Anolis sagrei: one gene and its partner. The protein of the gene in region 1 purifies or fractionates together with the protein of each later gene. This does not show direct contact. Links are inferred from orthologs where the notes say so. Each region holds a gene or a part of one and is shown on either strand. Other genes may lie near its edges.

Region 1 (7,152 bases):
CACAGATGTCTCTCAGGAAGGAGTCTAATTTTCCACAGAACATTTCTTCTATTCCTTCACTGCACATTATGCCTACCAGCCATGCGGTAAAATAACATGTGCCATGTGGCACCCATAAGAACATATACACCATACCATGAGCTATAATAAATTTATGCAAACTGTTATGCATTTATTATATAAGGAGAATTGTCAGTATAATACCCTGCAGGTGTGTTATATCATGAGGCCACATGCTGGGTAGGACACATTCTGCGCCCTTTCTCACCTTTCAAAATAGCATACCCAAAGAAAAGAAGCTGGTATCTTGAAAACTTGCATAATTTTTGATGGGATTGGCTTAAAAGGGTTTCAGTGCTACATAGACTAGCCAGAACACGTATTTAAAAGGACAGAATATGAGTAGCCATGAAACATATCACAACACATACTAGGACACAGAGCAATAGTCTCAAACTGCAGGAAAGGAGATTCCACCTAAACATTAGGGGAGGGAGGGTGGGTGGGGTTTGGGAGAGGAGATAAGAGTTCTAAAGGCCATTTTAATGTATTAGCTGTATTTTCATTCTGTCTTTACCACACTATTATTTAATTGTTTTTTATTTTTTGTATTTCTCTTTTTTAACTCTTTAGTGTGGATAGATCAGGCCTGGGCAAACTTGGGCCCTCCAGGTGTTTTGGACTTAACTCTCACAATTCCTACTGGCTGTTAGGAATTGTGGGAGCTGAAGTCCAAAATACCCAGAGGGCCCAAGTTTGCCCATCCCTGGGATAGATGTTAGCTGCCTCGAGTCCCTATGGGGAGAAAGGCAGGAAATATAAATCAAAATAAGTAGTAGTAGTAGAACTTCCTGATGGTAAGAGTTGGTCATCAGTGGAATAGGTTGCCATGGAGTATCGTGGGACCGCCTTCTCTGGAGACTTTTAAGCAGAGCCTGGATAGCTGGGAGTGCTCTGCCTGGGTCTCCCTGCATGGTTGAGGATTGGACTAGATGGCCTTTGGGGTCTCTTCCAACTCTAGGGTTCTGTTGGTCCCAAGTATTGGTAGTAGGTGACTGAATGACCACAACAGTGAGCATAAAATGGCTGGCTAAAGGAGCAAGGGGGCTGCAGTGGTGATTTTAATGTTTAGCTGTGGTTAGTGTCCAGTAGCACAATGAAAGGAATAGTTACTGTGATGTGACTTGAAGATAAAGGCATGGTCTTGCAAATTTGGGCCTTCTAGGTGGTTTGGACTTCAGCTCCCACAATTCTTACCAGCTGTTAGGAATTGTGGGAGTTGGAGTCCAAAACACCCGGAGGGCCCAAGTTTGCCCATGCCAGGGATAGATGTTAGCTGCCTCAAGTCCCCAAGGGGAGAAAGGTGGGAAATATAAATAAAGGTAATAATAATAATAGGAAGAAGCCACTGATGGTAAGAGCCGTTCGTCAGTGGAATAAGCTGCCTTGGAACATGGTAGGACCTCCTTCTCTAGTGACTTTTAAGCAGAGGCTGGATACCATCTGCCGGAGGTGCTTTAACTGGGACTCCCTGCATGGCTGTTTATTTGTTTGTTTTTTTGGTCGTGTCAGGAGCAACATGAGAAACTGCAAGTCGCTTCTGGTGTGAGAAAATTGGCCGTCTGCAAAGATGTTGCCCAGAGGATGCCTGGATGTTTTGATGTTTTTACCATCCTTGTGGGAGGCTTCTCTCGTGTCCCTGTATGTGGAGCTGGAGCTGATAGAGGGAGCTCATCTGCACTCTCCCCGGATTCAAACCTGTGACCTATCAGTCTTCAGTCCTGCCAGCACAAGGGTTTAACCCACTGCGCCACCGGGGGCTCCTGCATGGCTGATAATTGGACTAGATGGCCCTTAGGGTCTCTTCCAACTCTAGAGTTCTATTGGTCCCAAGTATTTGTGGCAGTTGACTAAATGACCACAACAGTGCGCATAAAATGACTGGCTAAAAGAGTGAGGGATCTGCAGTGGTGATTATCACAGAATCATAGTGTTGGAAGAGACCTGGTGGGCCATTCAGCCCAACCCCCTACCAAGAAGCAGGAAGAATTAAACAGAGGCCCTCCAGCCTCTTTTTAAAAGCCTCCAGGGGAGGGGCCCCCACCACACTCTGGGGCAGAGAGTTCCACTACTGAACAGCTCATTTGAATGTTTTGTTAGCTGTGTCCTGGAAATCCTGCAGACCAGTACCACAGTGAAAGGCATAGTCACTGTGATGTGCCTTGAGGGTAATGGCATGCTCTTGCTCAGGCAAACTTGGGCCCTCCAGGTGGGTTGGGCTTCAACTCCCACCATTCCTAACCGCCTCAGGCCCCTTCCTTTTCCCCCTCAGCCGCTTAAGCGGCTGAGGGGGGAAAGGAAAGGGCCTGAGGCGGTTAGGAATGGTGGGAGTTGAAGCCCAACCCACCTGGAGGGCCCAAGTTTGCCAGAGAAGCGCCTCTGCAGCATGAATGCCAAGGTGGGGCAGGCGGGCCTTGGGGGTCTCACCCTGCTGGGTCCGTCGGGGAAGAAGACCGCCAGCGGTAGGTTGCAGGCGATGAGGGCGGCGGGCAGGTCCTGCAGCGACATCGCCGTCTCCATGTCGACGAAGGTCCAGTCCAGAGGCTCCTCCGCGGCCTTGGCCTCTCCCGCCGCCGCCGCCGCCGCCTCCTGGCCTCCTCCTCCTCCTCCTCCTCCTCCTCCTGACGCCGCTCCTTCTTCCTCCCTCTCGCGCCGCCTCTCGAGCCCCTCCATGCCGGGCTGAAGGGGAGGAGCCGGGGGTGGTACCTCAAAGAGAGACACACACAGAGAGAGCGAGGCCTCGCCGCCCCCAGGGCTTCGGCTTTTTAACCCTATCCCATCGACGCCGAGGCGGGAAGGGAGGCCGCAGGCTCTTGGGGCGAGCCAATCACGCCGCTCGACGGGCCCTTCAACAGGTGACCCAACTCGAAGGGGCCCGGCTCCGCCTCCGCCTCCTCCTCCTCCTCTCCTGCCGCCATCTTGGATGAGGGCACCGTGCGTTCGCCCCGCACTGACGCCTACTCCGCCAATCAGAGTGCTCCGTTTCGCCTTCAACCGGTGTCCTGCCTAGAAGTGTCCCGACTCCACCTCCGCCATCTTGGGTGAGGGCACCTCCAGCTTGTGTTGCCTTACTGAGGTCTCCACCGCCGGCCGTTTTCCCCCCTTCTTGGCCCTTTGAAGAGACGCTTTCGGGAGATGTACCTTCAAGGTTGCTTTAATACTGGCCCCATCTACATTGCTTTATGAGGCAGTTTATTACTGGGCTGTTGTGAGTTTGTATGGCCATGTCCCAGAAGCATTCTCTCCTGAGATTTCACCTACATCTATAGCAAGCATCCTCAGAGGTTATTACTGGGTTGCTGTGAGTTTTCCAGGCTGTATGGCCATGTTCCAGAAGCATTCTCTCCTGAGATTTCACCTACATCTATAGCAAGCATCCTCAGAGGTTGTGAGGTCTGTTGGAAACTAGGCAAGTAAGGTTCATATATCTGTGGAATGCCCAGGGTGGGAGAAAGAACTCTTGTTTGTTTGAGGCAAGTGTGAATATTGCAATTGGTCACCTTGGTTAGCATTTAGTAGCCTTTTAGCTTCAAAGCCTGGCTGGTTGCTGCCTGGGGGATCCTTTGTGGGGAGGCATTAGCTGGCCCTGATTGATTCTTGATTGGAATTCCCCTGTTTTTTTACACTTCCATTTACACTTGCCTCAAACAGACAAGAGTTCTTTCTCCCACCCTGGACATTATTCCACAGATATATAAACCTCACTTGCTTAGTTTCCAGCAGATCTCACAACCTCTGAGGATTACTGTCATAGATGTGGGCAAAACATCAGGAGAGAATGCTTCTGGAGCATGGCCATATAGCCTGGACTATGATGCTATAAACCCTGGAATAGATTAGAATATTTAAAAAAACTGTTCTAAAAGAAAAACATATTTTAAATAGGTGATCAAACACCGCCACCGAGTGGTTACTAAGGAAATACACACATGGAAATAATTTCTCCCAAGATTTTGTTCCCTATCAACTAATGGAAGTACTTTCAAAGTAGGCATCCATTAGGGAAAAAAATGTTCCTCAAGTAGATTCTACTTCCTACACCAGGATAAATACTTGCAGAAACACCTCAGCAAGCAAGAGTCCAAAAGTGGCTGATACCACTGGTACAATGGGTTAAACCTCAGTGCTGACCAATAGGACAGCAGTTTGAATACGGGGAGAACGGGTTGAGTTCCCTCTGTCAGCTCCAGCTCCCCATGCTGGGACATGAGAAAAGCCTTCCACAGGATGGTAAAACATCTAGGCGTCCCCTGGGCAACGTCCTTGCAAACGGCCGATTCTCTCGAACCAGAAGTGACTTGCAGTTCCTCAAGTCGCTCCTGACATGAAAAAAAAATTCAGATGAGAGACCCTCCTGGACACACAGAAGACTGGGTGACTTGGAAGTTACAGAGCAGACAGAGCTCTGGCACCACGAGATGCAGAGCCAACCTTAAGAAATGGGGTTACAAAGTGGAGTCCACGACATGTGATTGTGGCAAAGATCAAACCACAATGCAGCCTGAGCCCTGCTACATGCACAATGAAAGACCTTTTTATAGCAACACCAGAGGCACTCCAAGTGGCCAGCTACTGGTCAAAGGGTATTTAATAGAATGCCAAGTTTGTAACTTTGTTTGTGGTTTTTCTACACATTATAACTGTATTATCAATTTTCTTTTGACACAATAAATAAATAACCAAGATAAATATGTGAGCAATGCATATAGCACTCTTTTCAGTTGGGATGCCTTTACGCCAGTGGTTCCCAACCTTTGGTCCTCCAGTTATTTTGGACTTAAGCTCCTAGAAATCTCAGCCAGTTTACCAGCTGTTAGGAATTTGTGGGAGCTGAAGTCCAAAACAACTGGAGGATCAAAGGTTGGGAACCACTGCTTTACACAGTACAACAGATACCAGGGCCTATAATACTATAGAAGTAAAGTAAGTGATGACAGGCCCTTTTTCTTTGTATCTGATTTCCTACATCAAATACTCTGAAGAACTTAAGAACGGAAAAACTGATGCTATTGTCTAGATGGCCCATTATGTGTATTGTGTTATATGGAGGAAATGGCATCTAAATAGCTGTCTGGTAAGCAGAAGAGTGTGAAAGAGTCCTCGCCCATTTCCATTCTTCTTTATCTGATCTCCTTATTTATGCTGTGTCCTGCTGAACTTTCCACCTTTCTTTCTAATATTTGAACCAAGATGCAATCAACCCTTGTAACTTCTGCTTCCCCCTTCCTTTCTTCTCTACATCCTATTTATCTTGTGGAAAGAAAGGGTCCTTTTCTCTACCATTTACCTTGCTAATCTGACACCGAATTGGGAATTAATGAGTTACAAGCAAAGTAGTTACTTCTGCTTACTCTGTGAGTAACAATGATGCATTGAAGTTATATTCAAAAGTACTACACCTGGGAATCACATTACCTTTATTGGTGTAGCGGTTAATGTTTTATAGTCATGATTTAAGATTATTTCTCAAAAGGATTTTTCTAGGCATTTTACTGGAATTACCTTTTCTTTTACACCATTCTTTCCCTTCCAGTAAGGAAAACTAAGAAACAGAAAAAGAGGTTTATTTTTAAAATTATGTTTTGTGCTGGTCAGTTTTGTATTGTATTATATAAAGATGAGTTCTGGCAAGATATTACTTTTGGAATACTAAACAAAAAACAACACAACAAGCAATGCCAATAAGCTGTTTTTAAAACATTACTTTCCATATTCTCTTCTGATACAAGGAAGCTGTTCTAGCTTACTACTTCATCACATTAGAGAAAAAATCCACTTAAAATCCAGTTTCTGCCTCTTGCAGAATTTTGGGGCTTGTAATTTTGGGAGGAGTCTTTAACAGCTTTACTAAACTACAAACCCCAGAATTCTACAGGAGGCAGAAACTGGATTTTAAATGGATTTTTTCTCTAGTGTGACAATTAGTCTAGGGGCCCTTCCGCACAGCCCTACATCCCAGTATATCAAGGCAGAAAATCCCACAATAACTGCTTTGAACTGTGTTATCTGAGTCCATACTTGGATAATGTGGGATTTTCTGCCTTGATATTCTGGGATATAGGACTGTGTGGAAGGACCCTAGGTACACAAAAGATGATGGGGAAATTGGGGGATCTCAGAATCAGAATTCCAAGTCCAAGAACAATTTTTCTTGGACTTGGAATAGGAACAATAATAGTTCCTATTATTATTGTGGTTTTGTGCCCTCGATTTTTTTTGTACCCATAGAAACCCTAAAGTGAAATTCTCACTGGGCTTTCTTGGAAGGAATTGTTCAGAAGAAGCATACCATTGCCTTCCCCTTAGGTTGAGAGAATGTGACTTCTATGAAGTCACACACTCGGCACTACCTTTGCTTATTAAGCCTTTGAATGAGACAGTGTATGGTTTATTCTTTTTGCTTTGTTTTTCAGTATTTTTATGTAGCATTGTGTTATTGTTGTTACCCCACTCCAGCGGCATTTGCTGGACAGTCAAAATAGAACTGTAACAAATCTATTAGGTGAAACCTGGTGGATGGGTCTCATGATTAGAATGTGATCATAGAGGGATATAATCTATTTTGGGAAAAAAGAGCAAACAGGAAAGGAGGAGGCATAGCATTCTTTTGGTCAAAGATTTTCACACCTGTGAAGAGCCTCATGACCTAATTCCTGGAAGTCAAGTTGAGAGGATCTGGGTAGAAATTAAAGGAGAAAGAAACAACAGGGATGTAATTGTGAGGAGGTCTACTATAATATAAATAAAGTTTTACTCCTACTACTATTACTATACAGACCTCCAAGTCAAACTGAGAACTTGAATAGTCTGGAGAAGGAAAGATTCAAAGGTGACATGATAGACATATTTAAATATTTGCAGAATGTCATATTGCAAATGGATCCAGCTTGTTTTCACCTTCTCTAGAGACCAGAATAGAGAGTAATGGTTTCAAATATAAGAAAAGAGATCCTACCTAAACATAAAAAGAATGTTGGTAGTAAGAGCTGTTTGACAGTGGAATTATGCTGCTTTGGAGCATGGTGGAGTCTCCATCTCTGAGGTTTTTAAAAAGAGGCTGTGTGGCCATCTGTCATGAGTCCTATGATTGAT
Region 2 (7,690 bases), on another chromosome or scaffold:
CACACTTGCTTCCAACAGACAAGAGTTCTTTCTCCCACCCTGGACCTTCCATAGATATATAAACCTCCCTTGCTTAGTTTCCAATATACTTCACAACCTCTAAGGGTGCCTGCCATAGATGTGGGTGAAACATAAGGAGAGAATGCATCTGGAACATGGCCATACAGCCTGGAAAACTCACAGCAACCCAGTGATTCCAGCCACGAAAGCCTTCGACAACACACCTAGGCATATTTACTCAAAAGTAAATCCAACATCAGCCAATGAAGATTGTACATGATAGGACCTAAGGCTGGTGTGTTTACATTGTGGCTTCTCCACAATGCCATACATAGCCTTTTCCTTTACACAGACACACAGACACACACACACTGATGCAGCAAAGCAAAAAAGAAAACAAGCTATTTCGATGGAATGGTCAAGTACCCTATATGTTCATAAGAACATGCACCACTGCCAAACATGTCTGCTAGATGGCTAAGCATCACTGAGATGTAGGTTGCAGGAGGAGGAGGGAGAGTCCCAAATGATGCTGGGAAGCTGCTCATGGATTGCACTGGGTTCCCTTTGTGCTGGAAGGGGATTGCCCAGGTGGCACATCTGCCATCTTCCCCATGAAATCTAACAGGGGTGAAGAGGAGAGGAACAAGAGGAGATTGGAGAGAAAGGCAGGGATCCAAGATCCAAGCCATGAAGGGATGGCATCCCTCAAAGATCCTTCCTGCGACTGCAGTGACACAGCCTCGCCTGCTCCCATCAGGATGGATGGATGGAGGAGGAGGAGGTGGGTGGGAGAGAAAGAGAAGGCACAGGCAGACAAAGAGAGGGAAGGAGGAATGGAGGGTGGCAAGAGTGGCAAGTGGATAGGTGTGGGCTGGGCTCCACTGCCTTGCAAGCAGAGAAATGCCCAAATCAAATCATAATAAAATGAGGGAAGGCATCAAGATGGGGTAAGGGTGGGAGGGGTCCTCTCTTGCCACATCTCAAAGCAGCCTGATCATCATCAGAAGCAAGGCTCGCCTGCCTTGGAAACAGAGAAATGCCCAAATCATAATCATAATATTCTAAAATGAGGGAAGGCATCAAGATGGGGAGAAGGGGGTCCTCTCTTGCCTCACATCAAAGCAGCCTGTTAATCAGAAGCAAGCAGCTGTGTCCAAGGAAAAGAAGGGAGGGAGGAGAGGAGGAGGAAGGAAGGAAGAGCCCCAGCTGTCAAAACCTGGAGATGCAGCGCGGGCGCGGCATTTCTCTGCAGGCGGGCGGGGTAGGGATTCAGGGAAGGGATCTCGCCCAAGAGGAGCCCAGGCCCACTCCCACTCCTCCCCCTCCCCCTTCTTCTCCTTCTCCTCCAGCTCGGAGGTGGGCGGAGAGAAGGCGGAAAGGCCCGGAGGAATTGGCAAAAGGGGGCGGCGGGCAGAGAAAACCGCCTGTGATGCCAAGCGCGCGCACACACATACACACACACACACACGCCGGATCCTCCAGCCGCAAAGAAGGAAACGGAGGGTTTTCCTGCCCCCTCCTTCTCCTCCTCCTCCTCCTCCTCCTCCCCCATCTTGCCTCTCTCTCTCGCGAGTGGAGGGAGGGAAGGAAGGAGGGAAGAAAGACTGCTGCAATGTAGCAAACAGGCGGAAGGCGAGGAAGGAGCCGCAAGTGTGTGCCTCTCTCTCTGTGCCCGTGCCATGTCATGATCCTTGGAGGGTCATGGAAGCCAGCCATGGAGAGGCTGCAGGAGGGCCAAGGAAGAGAGGAAGGGAGGATCCAGCTATGGAGGGGCTGCAGCAGGGAGAAAGGAGGAAGGAAGGGAGCCTCCAGGTCCAGCCTGGCCTTGGTCACGGAGCCACCCTATGCAGGAGTGGGCTGCATCCTCCCTCCTGCCTCCCTCCCACTCCTCGCTCGGTGCCCACTTCCAAGACCCACAAAGCCTCCTCTTCCTCCTTCTCCTCCTCCTCACAAGCCTCTTCCTCCTCCCCCTCCTCCTCTTCTTCCTCTTCCTCCTCCTCACAAGCCTCTTCCTCCTCCTCTTCCCCTTCTCCTCCTCTTCCCCCTTCTCTTCCTCTTCTTCTTCCTCTTCCTCCTCCTCACAAGCCTTACCCATATTTTGCAACCGCAACCAGACCTGCCGCAGCCCCCCCCCCCCGTTTTGTGTCTCCCCCGAAAGCGAAGGAGGGGGAGAAAAGGGAGGAGATGGGGATCACGGGGGAATCTCCCGCCTGGCAGCCCCCTCAAGCGCCGGGTCCCAAAGCCCAAGCCTCCCCTCCCCCCCTCTCCCGCCTCGGCTCCCCTTCTTACCTTTCACCACCCTCTCCGTCGTCGACAACTTCGGATCCAGCGCCTTGTGTTCCGACATTTCCAGCAGCCTGGCGAACAGGAGGCGGAGGAGGAAGAGGAGGAGGAGGAGGAGGAAGGCGCTTCTCCCGCGCCAGACACAAAGCTGGAGGCGGCTGGAGCCCTTCCCCCGGCTGCAGCAAAGCGCGTCTCTAGCCCTCCTCCTTCTTCTGGGCTTCCTTCTGGCCCCGGCTCCCTTCTGGGGCTCCGCGGAGGTCCCTCCTTCGCTTTCTCCTCTCCTCCTCCTTCTTCTCCTCCGTTCTCCTCTTCGGTGCTCGCTTTGGGCCCCCCGCTCCGGACGTCAATCAAGCCTCTCCCTTCGGAGAGAAGAAGGCGAAGAAACGGAAGGGAGCGAGAGAGAGAGATCCAAGTCCCGGAGGGGGGAAAGGCGCAGCGTCAGTCACCCAGCGACAAGGGCTGCGGGACAACGCATCCGTCCGCAGCGGAGGAGAGAGACCCCTCGCCTGCTCCGTCTATCCGTCCGTCCCTCGCCGCCTCCTCCTCCTCCTCCTCCTCCTCCGCGTCGTCGCTGCTGCTGCTGCTGCTGCCGCCGCCGTCTCCTTCCTCGCCTCCTCCCCTTGCTTTCTTTCGCAGGGGCTCTCCTCCTCCTCCTCCTCCTCCTTTCCTTCCTTCCTTCCTGCCTCCCTTTCACTCAACGCAGCCCGCTCCGACGCGCAGCCTATCCGCGCCTCCCTAGACGGACCGCCTTCCTCGCGGCCAAAACGGGAGCGGCTCCGCCATTGGCTCGGGACGAGCTGCCAATCACTGTCAAAGGGGTAGCCCGCGCCCGCCTTTCTTTCGTTCCCTCCGCCTCTGGAAGGCTTCCTCGCTCTCTCTCTCTCGACACCCCCTCCCCCCCCCCCCTTTTTACTGCCCGCCTTCCTGCTTTCCTTCCTTCTCTCAGGTGTTCGCCGCCGTCATGCGCCAGGGAGCGCGCGCGCGCACACACACACCCACACCCACAGAGATGGATATGTACACACACGCGCGCACGGGCGCGCGACACACACAACACCTCCAGGCCCTGGAAGCTGGCGAGGGGAAGCGTGTGGGCTGAGAGGCTGTGGGAAGAGTGGGAGAAGGGGGTCTGAGAAAAGAGGTTTCTGGGTTGCTGTGAGTTCTCCGGGCTGCAGGCATGTAGTGGGTGAGGCGGGCTTTGGGGGCTTCAGCCCCCCCCCCCCTCGAAATTCTCATGGTCGTCCAGGAGAAGGCCTTACTGGTACATTATTTAAACTGTTATGTTTATTCATATCATGATCTGATCACCATGCTCAATATATCCCATATGCATGGGGGTATTGGGGTAACGATACAACGTGGGGTTGCCTCTGAAGACTGCCCGGAAGCTTCAATCAGTCCAACCTGCGGCAGCCAGATTGCTAACAGGAGCAGGGTACAGAGACCATAAGCCCCCTATTACGCCAGCTCCACTGGCTGCCAATCAGCTTCCGGGCACAATTCAAAGTCCTGGTTTTGACCTATAAAGCCCTAAACGGCTCTGGCCCAGTTTACCTGTCCGAACGGATTCTCCCCTATGAACCATCAAGGCTATTAAGATCTTCCGGGGGGCCCTGCTCTTGGTCACACCACCCTCACAATCATGGTTGGTGGGGACGAGAGACAGGGCCTTTTCGGTGGTGGCTCCCCGGCTTTGGAACTCCCTCCCACTAGAGGTTAGATCTGCCCCCTCCCTCCTGACATTCAGGAAATCACTAAAAACCTGGCTCTGGAATGCGGCATTCGAGGACTGAACCTAGAACCTCTCCCTGTGATGAATTATGATGAACTGTGACTACGAGTATGAATATGACCATGACTGGATTGACGATTGGCTTAGGTAATTGTAATGATGATGTTTTATTGTACTGTATTTACTATTTTAATATGTAATGACTTTGCACTTGTTGTTCTTTATATGATTGTATTTTATATATGCTGTAAACTGACCTGAGTCCCTCGTCGAGGTGAGAAGGCCGGTATAGAAAACTTCTAAATAAATAAATAAATAAAAGGTTTGCTAGGGTAGACCCTCTTTCACTCAGATTCAGCCCCCCTCCCGAATCAAACTCACCCCCCCCCCCCCGAATCAAAATCCTGGCTACGGGCCTGCCGGGCTGTATGGCATTTTCTCCTGACGTTTGGGTATGGTTAAACGGAGCTATAGCCTATAACATTATATTATAATGTAATGCAATATAATACTAATACTAATAATATATAATAATAATATGTTTATATTACATGTAATATTACTAATAATATTAAATATAATGGTATAGTACAATATAGCAACATTTAATACTGATATCGTACTATGCTAATAACATAATATATATATTGTGTGTATATATATATGTGTGTATGTATGTATAGATAGATAGATAGATAGATAGATAGATCTTCCGGAGGGGCCCTGCTCTTGGTCCCACCATCTTCCCAATCGCGTTTGGTGGGAACGAGGGACAGGGCCTTCTCGGTGGTGGCTCCTCGGCTTTGGAATTCCCTCCCACCAGAGATTAGATCTGTTCCCGCCCTCCTGACCTTTAGAAAACTAATAAAAACCTGGCTTTGGAATATGGCATTTGAAGATTGAGTCAATAACCCTTGTCCACATGGAAGGATGGCGATGAGTTGTGACTGTATTGACAACTTGGCTTGTGTAATGTGATGATTATGTTTTTATTGTACTTATATTTGAATGTATAATGATGATGCATTGTGTTATTTTGTATATTACTGTACATGAACACATGTTGTGAACCGGCCTAAGTCCCTCCTCGGAGGTGAGAAGACCGGTATATAAAACATACATACATACATACATACATACATACATACATATATATGGCCGCTCTGAGTCCCCTTCGGGGTGAGAAGGGTGGGATATAAATGTCACAAATAACAGTATTTTTTAGCCTTCCTGATGTTGTGACGCCTTAATAGAGTTCCTCCTGTTGTGGTGACCCCCAACCATAACATTATTTTCATTGCTACTTCATAACTGTCGTTTTGCTACTGCTATGAATCGATCAAGGGCAAGATGGATGGATGGGATCCTTGAAGTGACTGAATTTACTCTGAAGGAGCTGGAGGTGGTGACGGCTGACAGGGAACTCTGGCATGGGCTTGTCCACGAGGTCATAAACAGTTGGAAACGACGGAAAGAATGAACGACAACACAAATCGTCATGTAACTATCTGATATGCAGAATGTACTTTCATTCACTGGACCAAAGTTGGCACAAATACCTGTTATGTCTAAATTTCTGTACTGGTGGTGTTGGAGGAGATTGATTTTGTCATTTGCGAGTTGTGATTGCTGGGATTTATAGTCCACCTGCAATCAAGGAGCACTCTGAACTCCACCAACGATGGAATTGAACCAAACTTGGCACATAGAATGCCCATGACCCAACAAAAATAGTGGAAGGGTTTGGTGGGCATTGACCTCAAGCTTTGGAGTTGTAGTTCACCTAAATCCAGAGAGCATTGTGGAATCAAACAATGATAGAGCTGGACCAAACTTGGCACGAATACTCAATATGCCCAAATGTAAACACTGGTGGAGTTTGGGAGAAATAGACCTTAACATTGATCAAGTCTTCTGTGTACCCAGGAGAAGTACCCTTATTCGGTATCAGCCATGGCTTGAGGTTCCAGGTTTTAGATTAGCAATAATAAAAATAAAGGTTTCCCCTTGACATTAAGTCTAGTCGTGTCCAACTCTGGGGGGTGGTGCTCAACTCCATTTCTAAGCTGAAGAGAAGGAATTCACTGGCATGAGCTTCCCTCCAGCCTTACATGCTCTCCCTTGCCCGCACATGCACACCATACTGCAATGTGCCAAGCACGCCTGCTCTCCCCTCCCTGCTTGAAGTCTCAGAAGCAACCCTCCCCTTGGCTGAGAGGCTGGACAATCACAGCAGAGGAAGGCTTTTGGTGGGAAGATTCACTGTCTGCCTCCAAAAAGAAAGAGAAGAACAGGCAGAGAGATCTTTAGCCTTCTCTGCCAAAAGAGTTCCTAAGACCATAAAAAATATGTGGGTCCGGACCCAGCTATGTATGATAGCTGGGACCCAGCTATGTATGATAGCTGGGTCCGGAAACTCCGAGCATTACACATATTCTGCAACAGAGGCAGGAATATACTTTGTAGTTGCATTTGGTGGAAAGATAGAAAGGAGGGGAGGGTTAGGATAAGGTTTAGGGTTTGGGGTAGCGTTAGGATTAGGGCTAGACTTAGGGTTAGAGCAGGGGTTCTCAACCTGTGGGTCCCCAGATGTTTTGGCCTTTAACTCCCAGAAATCCTAACAGCTGGTAAACTGGCTGGGATTTCTGGGAGTTGTAGGCCAAAACATCTGGGGACCCACAGGTTGAGAACCACTGGGTTAGAGTAAGGTTTAGGGTAAGAGTTTTACCATTACAGAACTCTTACATTCCTTCTACAATATCTGTGTTCCATTCAGCGTTGCGCAAACAGCGCTCCCCTTCGAGCAAAGCGGAAACAGCGTAACGTTCAGAGCTTCCAGACCCAGCCTTTCATACTATTACCATACTATTACCAATATTTCTAATGGTCTTTGGACTGCCTTGGAGTGCCTTGGACTGCGAGAAGATCCAACCAGTCCATCCTTCAGGAAATAAAGTCCGACTGCTCACTGGAGGGAAGGATACTACAGACAAGGTTGAAGTACTTTGGCCACATCATGAGGAGACAGCAAAGCCTAGAGAAGACAATTATGCTGGGGAAATTAGAAGGTAAAAGGAAGAGGGGCCGACCAAGGGCAAGATGGATGGATGGAATTCTTGAAGTGACTGGACTGACGAAGGAGCTGGGGGTGGTGATGGCCGACAGGGAGCTCTAGTGTGGGCTGGTCCATGAGGTCACGAAGAGTCAGAGACGACTGAACGAATGAACAACAACAATGGTCTTTGGGGGGGGGGCTGAGTCTGAATGAAAGAGTCTACCCTAGCAAACCTTTTGTATCATTACCCCAATACCCCCATGTATATGGGATATATTGATCATGGTGATCAGATCATGATATGAATAAACATAAGTTTAAATAATGTACCAGTAAGGCCTACTCGTGGACCACCATGAGAATTTCAGGGGGGGCTGAAGCCCCCCAAGCCTCCCCCCTGCTACATGCCTAGTCTTTGGTGACCCCTCTGAAACCTCCTCGCGACCCCCTCCCCAAAGGTGTCCTAGGTTGAGAAACGCTGCCCTAAAGGAAAGGGTGCTGAATGGTGCTGAATTCCTCCAGATGCAGGAGGAGACTGTGGGGAGACCTTGGGGAGAAGAAGGGAACAGCTGTACTGTCTCCTTATCTTAGTATTATTATTATTATTATTATTATTA

The links.
Region 2: the proteins of RCAN1 (region 1) and PPP3CA purify together in Homo sapiens (affinity purification with mass spectrometry; 5 studies listed by BioGRID and IntAct, counting the BioPlex papers as one, with this or other methods). This does not show direct contact. The link is inferred for Anolis sagrei from reciprocal best matches to the Homo sapiens genes RCAN1 and PPP3CA.

What each region holds. Positions count from the first base shown.
Region 1 is NC_090023.1:70,562,397-70,569,548, forward strand, and holds the start of RCAN1 (calcipressin-1), read right to left. Parts: upstream 3,020-7,152; 5' UTR 2,734-3,019; coding exon 2,488-2,733; intron 1-2,487. UniProt on the Homo sapiens protein: Inhibits calcineurin-dependent transcriptional responses by binding to the catalytic domain of calcineurin A. Could play a role during central nervous system development.
Region 2 is NC_090025.1:27,072,193-27,079,882, forward strand, and holds the start of PPP3CA (protein phosphatase 3 catalytic subunit alpha), read right to left. Parts: upstream 3,003-7,690; 5' UTR 2,351-3,002; coding exon 2,293-2,350; intron 1-2,292. UniProt on the Homo sapiens protein: Calcium-dependent, calmodulin-stimulated protein phosphatase which plays an essential role in the transduction of intracellular Ca(2+)-mediated signals. Many of the substrates contain a PxIxIT motif and/or a LxVP motif.